Ovis aries: one gene and its partners. The protein of the gene in region 1 purifies or fractionates together with the protein of each later gene. This does not show direct contact. Links are inferred from orthologs where the notes say so. Each region holds a gene or a part of one and is shown in the gene's direction. Other genes may lie near its edges.

Evidence for each region.
Region 2: the proteins of SLC38A9 (region 1) and LAMTOR3 purify together in Homo sapiens (affinity purification with mass spectrometry; 3 studies listed by BioGRID and IntAct, with this or other methods). This does not show direct contact. The link is inferred for Ovis aries from reciprocal best matches to the Homo sapiens genes SLC38A9 and LAMTOR3.
Region 3: the proteins of SLC38A9 (region 1) and LAMTOR4 purify together in Homo sapiens (affinity purification with mass spectrometry; 4 studies listed by BioGRID and IntAct, with this or other methods). This does not show direct contact. The link is inferred for Ovis aries from reciprocal best matches to the Homo sapiens genes SLC38A9 and LAMTOR4.

Annotation. Positions count from the first base shown.
Region 1 is NC_056069.1:23,717,216-23,720,866, forward strand, and holds part of SLC38A9 (neutral amino acid transporter 9), read left to right. Parts: intron 1-1,121; coding exon 1,122-1,235; intron 1,236-2,789; coding exon 2,790-2,938; exon of another isoform or gene 2,939-2,997; intron 2,998-3,651.
Region 2 is NC_056059.1:25,128,327-25,131,977, forward strand, and holds part of LAMTOR3 (ragulator complex protein LAMTOR3), read left to right. Parts: intron 1-656; coding exon 657-790; intron 791-2,065; coding exon 2,066-2,129; intron 2,130-3,651. UniProt on the Homo sapiens protein: As part of the Ragulator complex it is involved in amino acid sensing and activation of mTORC1, a signaling complex promoting cell growth in response to growth factors, energy levels, and amino acids.
Region 3 is NC_056077.1:36,680,937-36,685,160, reverse strand, and holds the start of LAMTOR4 (ragulator complex protein LAMTOR4), read left to right. Parts: upstream 1-1,422; 5' UTR 1,423-1,477; coding exon 1,478-1,480; intron 1,481-1,972; coding exon 1,973-2,053; intron 2,054-3,885; coding exon 3,886-4,188; 3' UTR 4,189-4,224. UniProt on the Homo sapiens protein: As part of the Ragulator complex it is involved in amino acid sensing and activation of mTORC1, a signaling complex promoting cell growth in response to growth factors, energy levels, and amino acids.

The DNA of each region.
Region 1 (3,651 bases):
CGTTTCCTAATATCACATGTCTAGTTTTCTTTCTGTGGTATCAAACTAAAGCAAAATTGTATATAATTTTTTTCTTATCTGTTTTTTTAGCTTTCAAAGTAATTTGTGTTTAAAATGAAAAATGAATAAGCTTATTGCCATAATTTAGTTGTGCTGAATTGTTTGGCCATAACTTTTGTGGTGATGGAGACCAGATTTATGAGCTGTGGGATCTGTTCTGTTTGGATCAAACAGCTGGCTCCATTAAATATCTTGGAGCTTTTTACTTTGCATGGGGATGGTTGGGAGGGTGGGAACAGCAGTGGAAGAAAGCAATCCACTTTATTTAATGTTCTGCATTTGTTTACTGGCTCCAATCATAACATTGTGCAGCTGTTTGAACAGCTGCCTTTTGATTTCCTTTTGTTTACTATTTAGGTTTATTAAGCTTGTCTTTAATACCTGCTTACTGTCTGCTTTTTAACTAGCTTTCGTACTTTATTAAATATATTTTAATATATACCAGTCTCTTTTGGTCTAGGTATGCTTTGATGATCTACAAAGTTAATTCACTAAAAGAAAAAAAATTTTTTTAATTCCATAGGTCATACAGAAAGCAGCCTATTCTTGATTTCTTGTTGTCCCTTAGCTTTATTTTTTTAGTTAAATATTTTATAATTTGGTAAATAAATTGCATTTCAAAATTAAGTCCAAATTTCAATCATGATAAACCACCATTTATGTTAACTTTCTAAGCCTGCCAGCAGATAACTTAGTCTTCATACTCCAGATAGTTTTTAAAAAGTTGTCAGACTAGTTGTTAAGTATGTGAATTTTGTTTTAACAAATGTCTCTGAGCAACCTGGATACCTAGGAGATGTATATTTACACAGAGAGAGCAAAAAGATAAATATTACATTTATTTGTCAGTCTTATTATTTTGGAGAAGGAAATGGCAACCCACTCCAGTATTCTTGCCTGGAAAATCCCATGGACGGAGGAGACTGGTGGGCTACAGTCCATGGGGTCACAAAGAGTTGGACACGACTGAGCGACTTCATTTTCACTTATTTTTTAGCCTATTCAGACATACTTACTAAAAATTTATTCATCATTGTGGGAATTTTATTCTCTGTTTACAGGTGAGGGACTTGTCCATTGCTTATATGCTGGTGACATTAACTTATCTCTATATTGGAGTCTTGGTTTTTGCTTCATTTCCTTCACCACCATTATCCAAAGATTGTATAGAGCAGGTAAGGCACTGTGTACCCTCTCTGTGTGATTGTTTATACCTTCATATCTGCAGGGCAAACAGTATGATACAGTAGCAATGTATACTACCAGACAGGCCTGGGTTTGAATCCAGTCTCTTCTATTTTCATACATGTGGGAATTCAGGCACCTTCCCCATTCTTTGTGAGCTTCAGTTTCTTCTTCCATTAAATATCATAATAGATACTCCATAGATTTTAGAAGGTCTCTCAGAAAACCTTCTGTATGCTGGCACCTGTGGTACTCAAATAAATGATTCCTGTTATTTGCTTATTTTTCTCTGTGTGTGGATAATTATGCTAGTAGCAGTCTTGAATTTATAAACCCTCACAGAGACTATATTCAGTTCCCTGATTTTCTAAAGTCCAGATCGAAATGTCCTGAATAAACTGGTTTCTTAATTCATCAGTCCCTGATAATAGATTTGACACTCATTTTGGTCTAGGTGGCAAGCATAAAAGCAAAGAAAGACTATTTCTTAAAAAGACAGAGGAAGAGACAGAAAGAATAAAAGAAACATTCTTTTACTAAAAGGCTGCCATAAATAATATTTGTTATTTGATTTGACCCATCATAAACCTGGGAATAGCATAATCTCTAGTTTTATGTGACTTAAGAAGTTCTCAGAGAAAGTAGCATTCACAGGTGATTGTCATTCCAGTCAGAAGAAATTCCTCTAAAAGAGTGTAGTGGAGACAAAATATGATTTATTACCTATGAATTATAAAAGTTATTTCAGCATAATAGTGGCAATAATGTTCTCATCTTTTCAAGATAAATAGATTTGAGTTATTGCTCTTTTGATAGTTTGAAATGTTCTCTTGATTTCCTTGATTCCAAAAGTTCTTTGGCAGCCAAATGTTTGCTGAAAATTCCCCTGATATGAAAAATCCCATATAAAGCCCACTCCCTTGGGAATAAGAATATCTGTGGTATTTGTATTTGAAAGGGAAAAAAAATCTGAGTAATTGGCTTTCTTTTTCTTAGATGCCAAATGAAAATGGAGAACAGAATCATGAAAGGAAGTAGAAAAAAATTTCTTTTCTTTTTATTGATAGACTATAGATAATAGTGATAGTAAGTAATAGATATACTCTCACTTTATGCTATAATCTTTAAAAATGCTACAGTGCATCAGAGGAGAAAAAGTAAGAGAATCATTGAGAATGAAATAGCATTGAAACAAATTTATACTTAAACCTCATATACTAACAGAGCATTACTTCTCAAACTATCAGTGGTAAACAAAGTCTTCTTTGTTGTTGTTTCAATGTCAAATCAATTGCAGATTGATACTTTTGTAAAACAAAAATATGCCAATGTCAAATGTCTTTAAGTTTCTAAATACTTACTTTTAATTTCTGTGCTTAGCTATTGAAGAGTAATAGCAAATAGTTTGTGAACGGGCACCAGCCCACGAAACCATACAATTTGGGTGGCACCTGTGTTCAAAATAAGCAAAAAAATTCCATTTTATAAATTTGTATATATTAAATTTGATTTGTAACATTACTTTATTATCTTTCTTGGATTAGAATTTTTTAGACAACTTCCCTAGCAGTGACATCCTGTCCTTCATTGCAAGAATATTCCTGCTGTTCCAGATGATGACTGTGTATCCACTCCTAGGCTACTTGGCTCGCGTCCAGCTATTGGGTCATGTCTTCGGTGACGTTTATCCTAGGTAAGGGCTCTTCTCTTGACCAGCAAGATGTGCCAAGCAAGAAATGACTGTGCAAACAGGTCAGTTTAAAATGTGACTGATCCTTTTGCTATGAAACTTTGCCTAATGAAAACGATTACTAAGGATAGACCTTTGGTGTTCTTTTCCCAGAAGAGCTTTAAAAATAGAAGCCGCTCCCTTGTCCAGAATGATTTAAAGTTAATTCCTGCCCATGTAGTTATGTTAGCTCTGATATCAACTATATTTATCTTGTGATTTAGTTGTTATTAATCTACTCTTTGCCAAGAAGTTAGCAGTATGTAGTAGTACCTGTGTTAGTAATGTATGGCTAAAGAGAAGCAACTCATTTAGTTATTGGTTATTGGTATTTACTTGTATATTTGTTACCATTCATGCAGTTTTACATAAACAGTAATGGTTTAGGATTGAACATGAGATACATAGCAAGTTTAAATTATTATTTGCTTCTGTAACGATTGCTATAATTTTTAATTTCTTATTGGCGATGAAAGAGTTTGAGTCCTCTTGAAAAATCTGTTCAAAGCTAGTCACCCTCATCCAAGAGAAGTTTCCATTTACTGAAACTTCCTTGTTGGCCCCTGGTTAATGCCTACTCTTACATTAAGTTTTATTATAGATTATTCTAGTAAAAAGTACCTAGTCGTAACCTATTTTATTGGGAATAAATTATCTTAAATGAAGAAAGCTTTTGG
Region 2 (3,651 bases), on another chromosome or scaffold:
TTCTGATATGTGATCCAGTATGCTTCCTAACCCAGCACAGAACATAGGTAGCCATGGGCAAATCACTTCCTTTTCTCAGTTCCATAACGAGGACTTTGAACAAAATAATCTCAGATTTTCCAGCTCCAGTGTTCTTTTTGAGGATCTCTGTTAAAACCTTAAGCTCAGCACTTACGGTACAACCAACTCCACATAGACCTTTCAGTGAGTATAAAAAACTTAAATCAGTGGCCAGGTGTAGAATTATCATCATCTACAAATGATGCTTCTGTGGGTTTTGTAAGAGCAAAGGTTAAAAGCTTTTTTCCAATATTCTCACTTAGCTCATAGTTAACCAGAATATTCAACTTATTAATTGTACTGATAATCATAACCTGTTTTAAGTTAGATATTAAGAAGATAGAGATGGTTAGTATTCATTTGAAATTTTTTGAAAAATTGTGAGAACCAGTATTTTTTCCCTTAGTTGTGATTGAATGGTTTTTCTCACCTAAACTGATGAGACCCAATTAGTATTATGAACTTCAGCATTGTGAAGCGTAACTCTTGTGCTTTTTTTTTCTACAAGTTTATGTGTTTTTTTTTTTTTAAATACTCTAAATGTCTTCTCGCTGTATATCCTACATAATTTTTACTTAAATCACTTGTATTTCCAGTGGCCAATGATAATGCTCCAGAGCATGCTTTGAGACCTGGTTTCTTATCAACTTTTGCCCTTGCGACAGACCAAGGGAGCAAACTCGGACTTTCAAAAAATAAAAGTATCATCTGTTACTATAACACCTACCAGGTAAGTTCATAATTATCAAATGGTTTGCTGATGATTTCAACTATTATTCTCTCTTCTTTGTAGAATAGTTTGTTTTAATAATTCTAAATTTTGGTTTCCAAAGTGATGGAATTTTAACATCTTCACCTTCAAATTGGTTATGTTAAACTGTAGTGATTTTTTTTCACATTTTACTTCAGGAATTAATATGAACAATTAGATTAAAAGATTGAATAGTAAAATATATATTATCCTCAAAAGGGTAAGTCAGGTCACTGTTATTAATACCTCCAGTAGATGGTGCCCTTAGCTTATTTAACAACTGTGATTTCTCAAATGACACAGTGGTTGTTGTTGTGACAGATACAGGATTTTCCTTGAAAGTCAAACGATAGTTATTTACATTTGTTATTGCTACTAATCCCATCTTTTGGCTTGATTATATAAATATATAAAATAAATGAGGTTATTATTTGTGGGAGAGAAATTAGTTGCTACAGATCTCTTGATCGCCAGCTGTATTTTCTTTAGAATGAATCAGTAACTTCTTCACAGTAGTAAAGAATCTGCCTGCCAGTGCAGGAGACATGAGAGACACTGTTTCAGTTCCTGGGTCGGGAAGATCCCCTGGAGTAGGACATGGCAACTCACTCCAGTATTGAGCAATTGAGCATACACTGCTTTCCATAGAGCAGAGTTTCCCAGGGTGTAAGTCATGCACTACCAATGATACATATGTGTTACTTTTTATTTTAAAGGTTATGTATTTTAGTATCTATTAGGCAGAAGATAACCAGCTCATCTGACCTTTAATTTAGTCAGTAAAGGTTAGGTTGAAGCTAAATTTTTTAAAAAGATAGCTGATTTTAAGTTAACTTAAATGTAAGTTAATTTAAATTATAGTGGTACAGAGGAGGCAAAAGATTGAGACGTTATAACCACTTGAATGACTGAGAAATAATGCCTTTAGCTCCTTAATTATCAAATATTTATTGAGCCCCTACTATGTAATTGACACTTTGCAGGGCTTTAGAAGATAAAAAAAGATGAGGAAGACACAGCCCCACCTTAGAAACTTTCCAGACTAAGTGATATTAATGTCTCTAAGAGATAATTAGTAAGTCTGTTTTACGGAAATACTTATTTTCAGCTCTTTCACCTTTCATGACGTAATACCATGATGTCAAGCTAGTATCTTACACATTTAAAGTTTTTAGAAAGATTAAGATATTTGATTTGAATTATACCACTTTTTCACTATATAACATTATACTTTAGATCTTGTTCTCTTTTTAGGTGGTTCAATTCAATCGTTTACCTTTGGTAGTGAGTTTCATAGCCAGCAGCAATGCTAATACAGGTATGTTTTAATTACCTTAAATACAGCTTTTAATCTTTATAATACCGGATCTGAACAGTCTAATATGATATGAATACAGATTTAGAGTAAGAAAACCTTAATGCATGGCCCAGCGCTACCATCTATTCCTTGTTTTCTGGAAATATAACTTCTCTGAATTGTTTATATATTATAAACAATTATTTATATAAACAAATATTGTATTGTTTATATCTGTATAATGGAGCTAAGAACTGCTTTCTTGATCTTATGCTATTATTTTTTTAGTTCAGATGAGATGATGTATAGATAAGTGATCATTTACGATAGGAAAATTAAATGTTATTTTCACCTCTTTAATACAGTATCTTGCTCACATTACAACAGTTTCAGAAAGCCAGAAAAAAAAAAAAATCAGTGGAGAAAATAACCAAACAAAACATAAAAATGATCACAGATGAATTCAGGTCCATAAGGACCGATCTATAAAATTTTGAACAATAGTGGGCAAGGTAAATGTGTTTGGGAATTTAAAGAGTGTGACTAGTATGAATATACTCAATTTTTTTTCAAAGTGGAAGAATTTGAGGGCTAACACTTGGAAGCTGTACTTTCTAGAGAGCATTGTAAGATCTCATTATATCCAGTGGTCTTCACTGGCTATTTTTGTGTAAAATCATAACAGTATTCAGTTGAATTACAATTTTTTTTTTTACTCTGTTTTAGTTTAAGTGGAATTTTTTAAAGGTCTGTCTCCAGGTTTCACCACTGTTAGCACTGCTTTACTTTTCTGTTCTGTTTTTTTCTTTCCAAGATATTTGAGCCAGTTTTGTTTCTGACTGTATCACTGAAGCCTGTATTTAGATTGCTCATGTTTAAAATGTGGGGTTTAGATTTAATGAACTGTTGGGTGTCTTTCATTTCTAAATGTTTTCAACCGTAAAATACTGTATGTGAAAACTCTTTGTATAGGATAGTAGTGGTGTCGGTATTTTAAATATGTTAAACCTCAGTTGTGGTAAATCACTATCATACTATAAAATCATCAGTTGTTATAAATTATGATAATCTCCAGAATTGTATTCTAGTACGTAGAACATTTCCTTGTGAATCCCAGGTGCTTTGAATGCTGTGTGAGACAAGAAGATCTTTAGTTGAGCAAAAAACAAGCAGTATTTAAGATATATAGCCTTCTACCCTAGGAAACTAACAAGCTGGATGTGCTGATTTCTAGATTAGCTTGCTTCTTTCAGTGTGTGTTTTATAGTCCTGTGAGGCATCTTTAAAACATTTTTGCCTTTGAAATATCCATTTGTGCCTTAGCTTTACTGAATTTATATAATAAGTATCTGATTATTTCTTTGCTATCTATCTGTTTTTTGATAAAGTTCATTAAAATTGGGTCAGGAAAAGGTCTTTTTTTTTTTTTTGTAAAAATCATGTGTATTATTCTTGAATTGGTGCAAATTTTGAAATAATGAGGTATAGATGAATTAAAGTTTTTCATAAAACTCCAGCAAAAGTATAACACATATATAATTCA
Region 3 (4,224 bases), on another chromosome or scaffold:
GGCAGGTCGGGTGGTCTGGTATTCCCATCTTTTCAGAATTTTCCACAGTTCATTGTGATCCACACAGTCAGCGGCTTTGGCATAGTCAATAAAGCAGAAACAGATGTTTTTCTGGAACTCTCTTGCTTTTTCGATGATCCAGTGGATGTTGGTAATTTGATCTCTGGTTCACTTAGCATGTTTTCAAGGTTTATCTGTGTGATAGCATAGATCAGTACTTCACTCCTTTTTACAACTGGACAATGTTCCATTGTATGGATATGCCGCATTGCTTTATCTGGTCTTCAGTTTATGAATATTTGGGTTGCTTTCCATTTGGGGGCGATTATGAGTGATGCTGCCATAACATCTGTGTACAAGTTTTTGTGTAAACATAGTTTTCAGTTCTCTTAGGTATGTATGAAGGAGTGGAATTTTTAGGTCCTATTTAACTTTCATTTATAAATATAGTAACTCTATTTAACTTTCAGAGGAACCACCAATCTGTTTCCCACTACAACTGCACTATTTTACATCCCTACCAGCAATGTATGAGAGCCCCAATGTCTCCAAATCCTCATCAAGCTTTTTTATTAGTTTATCATCATTTTGCCTCACATTAATATTGCAGCAGGTCTAAAAACTACTTAAATTAAAACAAAAAATTTCTAAATGACACTCATATATTTAAAAAATTACCCCAAGGTCATTTTCTAATTATTCCTGGCAGAGAATATTCAGTATTGCAGCTGCCTTGGCTGCTGCTGCTGCTGCTAAGTCGCTTCAGTCCTGTCCGACTCTGCGACCCATAGACGGCAGCCCACCAGGCTTCCCCGTCCCTGGGATTCTCCAGGCAAGAAGACTGGAGTAGGTTGCCATTTCCTTCTCCAATGCATGAAAGTGAAAAGTGAGAGTGAAGTCGCTCAGTCGTGTCCGACCGTTAGCGCCCCATGGACTAGGGAGGTATAATGCTCTATCACACAGTTTCTTACAGAATCCCGGGACGAAAAATCGCTTTGGAACAAATTCCTGTCAGAGAGCTGCCTGAAGTAGGCACAAGAGTAGCATCTGAATAGCTCTCTATCTACGTCTTTTGGCTCGCTCAGGATTCCACTTGCGAGCCACCTAGCCTTGTTGGAGTCTGCCCCCGCCGCCCCCGTGTGCGCAGGCGCAAACTCTCAGCCCGGCCTCCCTCCGGCCCCGCCTCCAGACCCGCCCCCCGCCGACACGCCCCCCTCCTTCGCGCTCTGGGGCTAAGGGGAAGGGAGATGAATGTTCAAGAGGATGTGCGGCCAATGCGCGAGCGTCTCGGAAGCGGCGCTCCGCACTGGCAGAGTAAGTCTGATGACGTAGCCACTCTCCAATCGGCATCCTGGGGGCGGGACTAAAGTCGGGCAGGGCAGGGCCGGAGGAGGAGACCGCTGGGTGGAAGCACGTGACCGCGGTCTGGAGCCGGAACTAGGTCTGGCTACAAGCTCCCCCAGCACCTAGAGCTGCGATGGTAAGTGAGGACGCATGCGCGGAGTTACGCGCCGCGCCGGCGGTTCCTTACCCCTGTCCCCCAATCTCTTTGGTTGCGGGGTCCTGAGCGTGCCCTCCGGCCTCACCTCCTATTCTCCCTGGGACTGGAAGGAAATGGAGAAGGGAGGGGTGGTGACGTAGAAGGCCAAGGAGAAGTCGCTGGGAGGGTGTGTAGAAGCTGGGGACTAGTCTGAGGGGGAGGCGCAGGCCACAGGTGCGTTTGGGGAGGGGGCCCTTGGGGTAGCAAAGGTGACGTGTGGAAAGCTGGTGGCGCCCGGGCGGAGGAGAGGACTGACGGAGGCTCAGGAGCATCAGTGTTGAAGGCCGTGTAGAGGGAAGAGGGTCTGGAAGGGCCCTGGCTGGGTAAAGAGGCCTGGAGCGGGGGCAGGGGGCACTGTCAAGAGAGGCACTCTGGTTGCCCAAGGGCCATCCTTTCGGCCTACTGCTCACTAATTGCATCTTTACCCACCAGACTTCGGCACTGACTCAGGGGCTGGAGCGAATCCCCGACCAGCTTGGCTACCTGGTGCTGAGTGAAGGCGCGGTGCTGGCGGTGCGTTCTGGAAACGGGAGGGGGGGTGCTCCAAGTACACATGACTCTAGGATGCCTTCTAATGTTGCCCTGTTTGGCCCGATTGGTCTCTGTTCTTGTCTTTCCCTGGTATCACGCCTGGCGTGTAGGAATTAAATCAATTAATCAATCTCTGGACTCTCAGTCTTGTAACTATCCTGAGGTAAAAGAGGTTTACTGACTTTACCAAAGTCAAGCAAGTTACAGGTTTGTTGATAACTGACAATCCCCAAGTTACTCTTGAGTATGTCTTTATTTGGTATTTATTGAAGAGGCTTGGTATTTTGTTCTGTAGTACAATACAGTGTCAGCTCTAGAAGTTTTCAATCTAGCTAGAGACAAGGCTTAAGGCTAAAAGTTCAAAGTAGTGCATGTGGTTAACGCAGCTGAAGGAGTCCAGAAAGTGAAGGATTCAGCCCTTCATACTATAACTTGTGTTTTGGCAAGGAACCTTCCTTGGACGAGGTAAGAATTCATCTGGGCTTAAAAGATGGATGGATGACAGGAAAGAAAGAATATTCAGAGTTGGGAGGTGGACATTTTGCAGGAGTGTAACACCAGCCTATCTGAATTGGTGATGGGGTTATGTTGAAAAGATTTGGAAACATTTGGGGGAAGAAGAGGATATGGTGAGGAAAGGTCCGATTGTGAAGGACTTTCAAGGCTAGGTTAACACATTTGGATTAATCTTGAAGGGTTTTTGAACAGAAACAAGCTGATGAAGTGATTGAGTAGCATTGTTCTGTTAGGCGTAAAGGTAAGACAGAAGGGGCAGGATTCAAAAGCGGGGATGCTGTTGCCAAAATGTAGGTATGAAACCTCTGGTTGCAATGAGAAGCAAGGAGAGAAGGGGTTTTTAAAGGAAGAATTGGTTTGTCTTTGTAATGACTAGAGTTCAGTAATAAAGGGGATACTTTTCTATCCTGTAAGACTTTGACCTCAAGCCTAGAATGATGGTGCCTTAACCAGCAGGGACTTAAGAAAGGAAGTTGACTGGAGAGGGGGAGAGATAGGGGGGATTTTGATAGTGCAGCTTTAAACACTAAGTTTGATATAGAATAATAGGGTAAACTCCAGGAGTTAGTGATGGACAGGGAGGCCTGGCATGCTGCGGTCCATGGGGTTGCAAAGAGTTAGACACAACTGAGCAACTGAACTGAACTGAATAGCCGTTAAATAGATAATGCCAGGAGCTAATCTGAGCATCTTGCCCCAGTACTCTTGTGACACTCACAAGCACGTAAGATAGGTACTGATGTCCCCAGTTTACAGATGAGGAAACAGGTATAGAATCCAGCAGGAGGGCCACCTTGAGGAGGTAAGAAGTTGAGATCATTACCAGAAAAGAGGAAGCCCAGGCCACTGTGACGTCATTATTCAAGGGCCAGGTAGTCCGAAGGGGTTCAGAGAGAAAAGGGATGTTTATGTTTCAGGTTCTGCAGACAGGGTGACAAATGAGAAATGGGAAAAGATGGAGCCTGGGACTCTAGCTGTGGTGGGTGGGCACTAATCTGTAAGAATGTGATTTTTTTCAAATAAGTGGAGACAGGGAGAGAAATGAAGATTCAGGGATTGGGGAAACAGGGTCAGTAATGGACAGAAATGGATGAGAGTTCCTACTTCCTCAGGGAAGCCCAGTATTTTGGAACAAGATGGCATCAAGAGGGGCAACAATATCATAGGAAAGTTTTAAGTTTTTCCAATACTAGGGGTGATGTTGCAGTGTTGGAAAGTGGAGACAGGTTACACAGAAGGGTTCTTGGAGTTGCTTCCCAGTCTGTCCCTGATTCCTGCCCCCCTCCCTCTGTGTGCAGTCATCCGGGGATCTGGAGAATGACGAGCAGGCTGCCAGCGCCATCTCTGAGCTCGTCAGCACGGCCTGCGGTTTCCGGCTGCACCAAGGCATGAGCGTACCCTTCAAGCGTCTGTCGGGTGAGCCCCGGCCTCTGGTAGTGGGGAAGGGGGGTGGGGTGCTGCTCCCCAAGGCCACTCTTCTCAGGGAAAGACACCTGTCTCCTACCAGCTGCCCACCATCTCCTCTGGAATCCTTGTCTTCCCTGTGGTATTTACCCCTGTATCAGAACTATGAGAAAAGCAAGAGAAGGGAGGGGATTTAATGGAGACCTCCCATCTTCTAATCTCTGAGCTTTGAC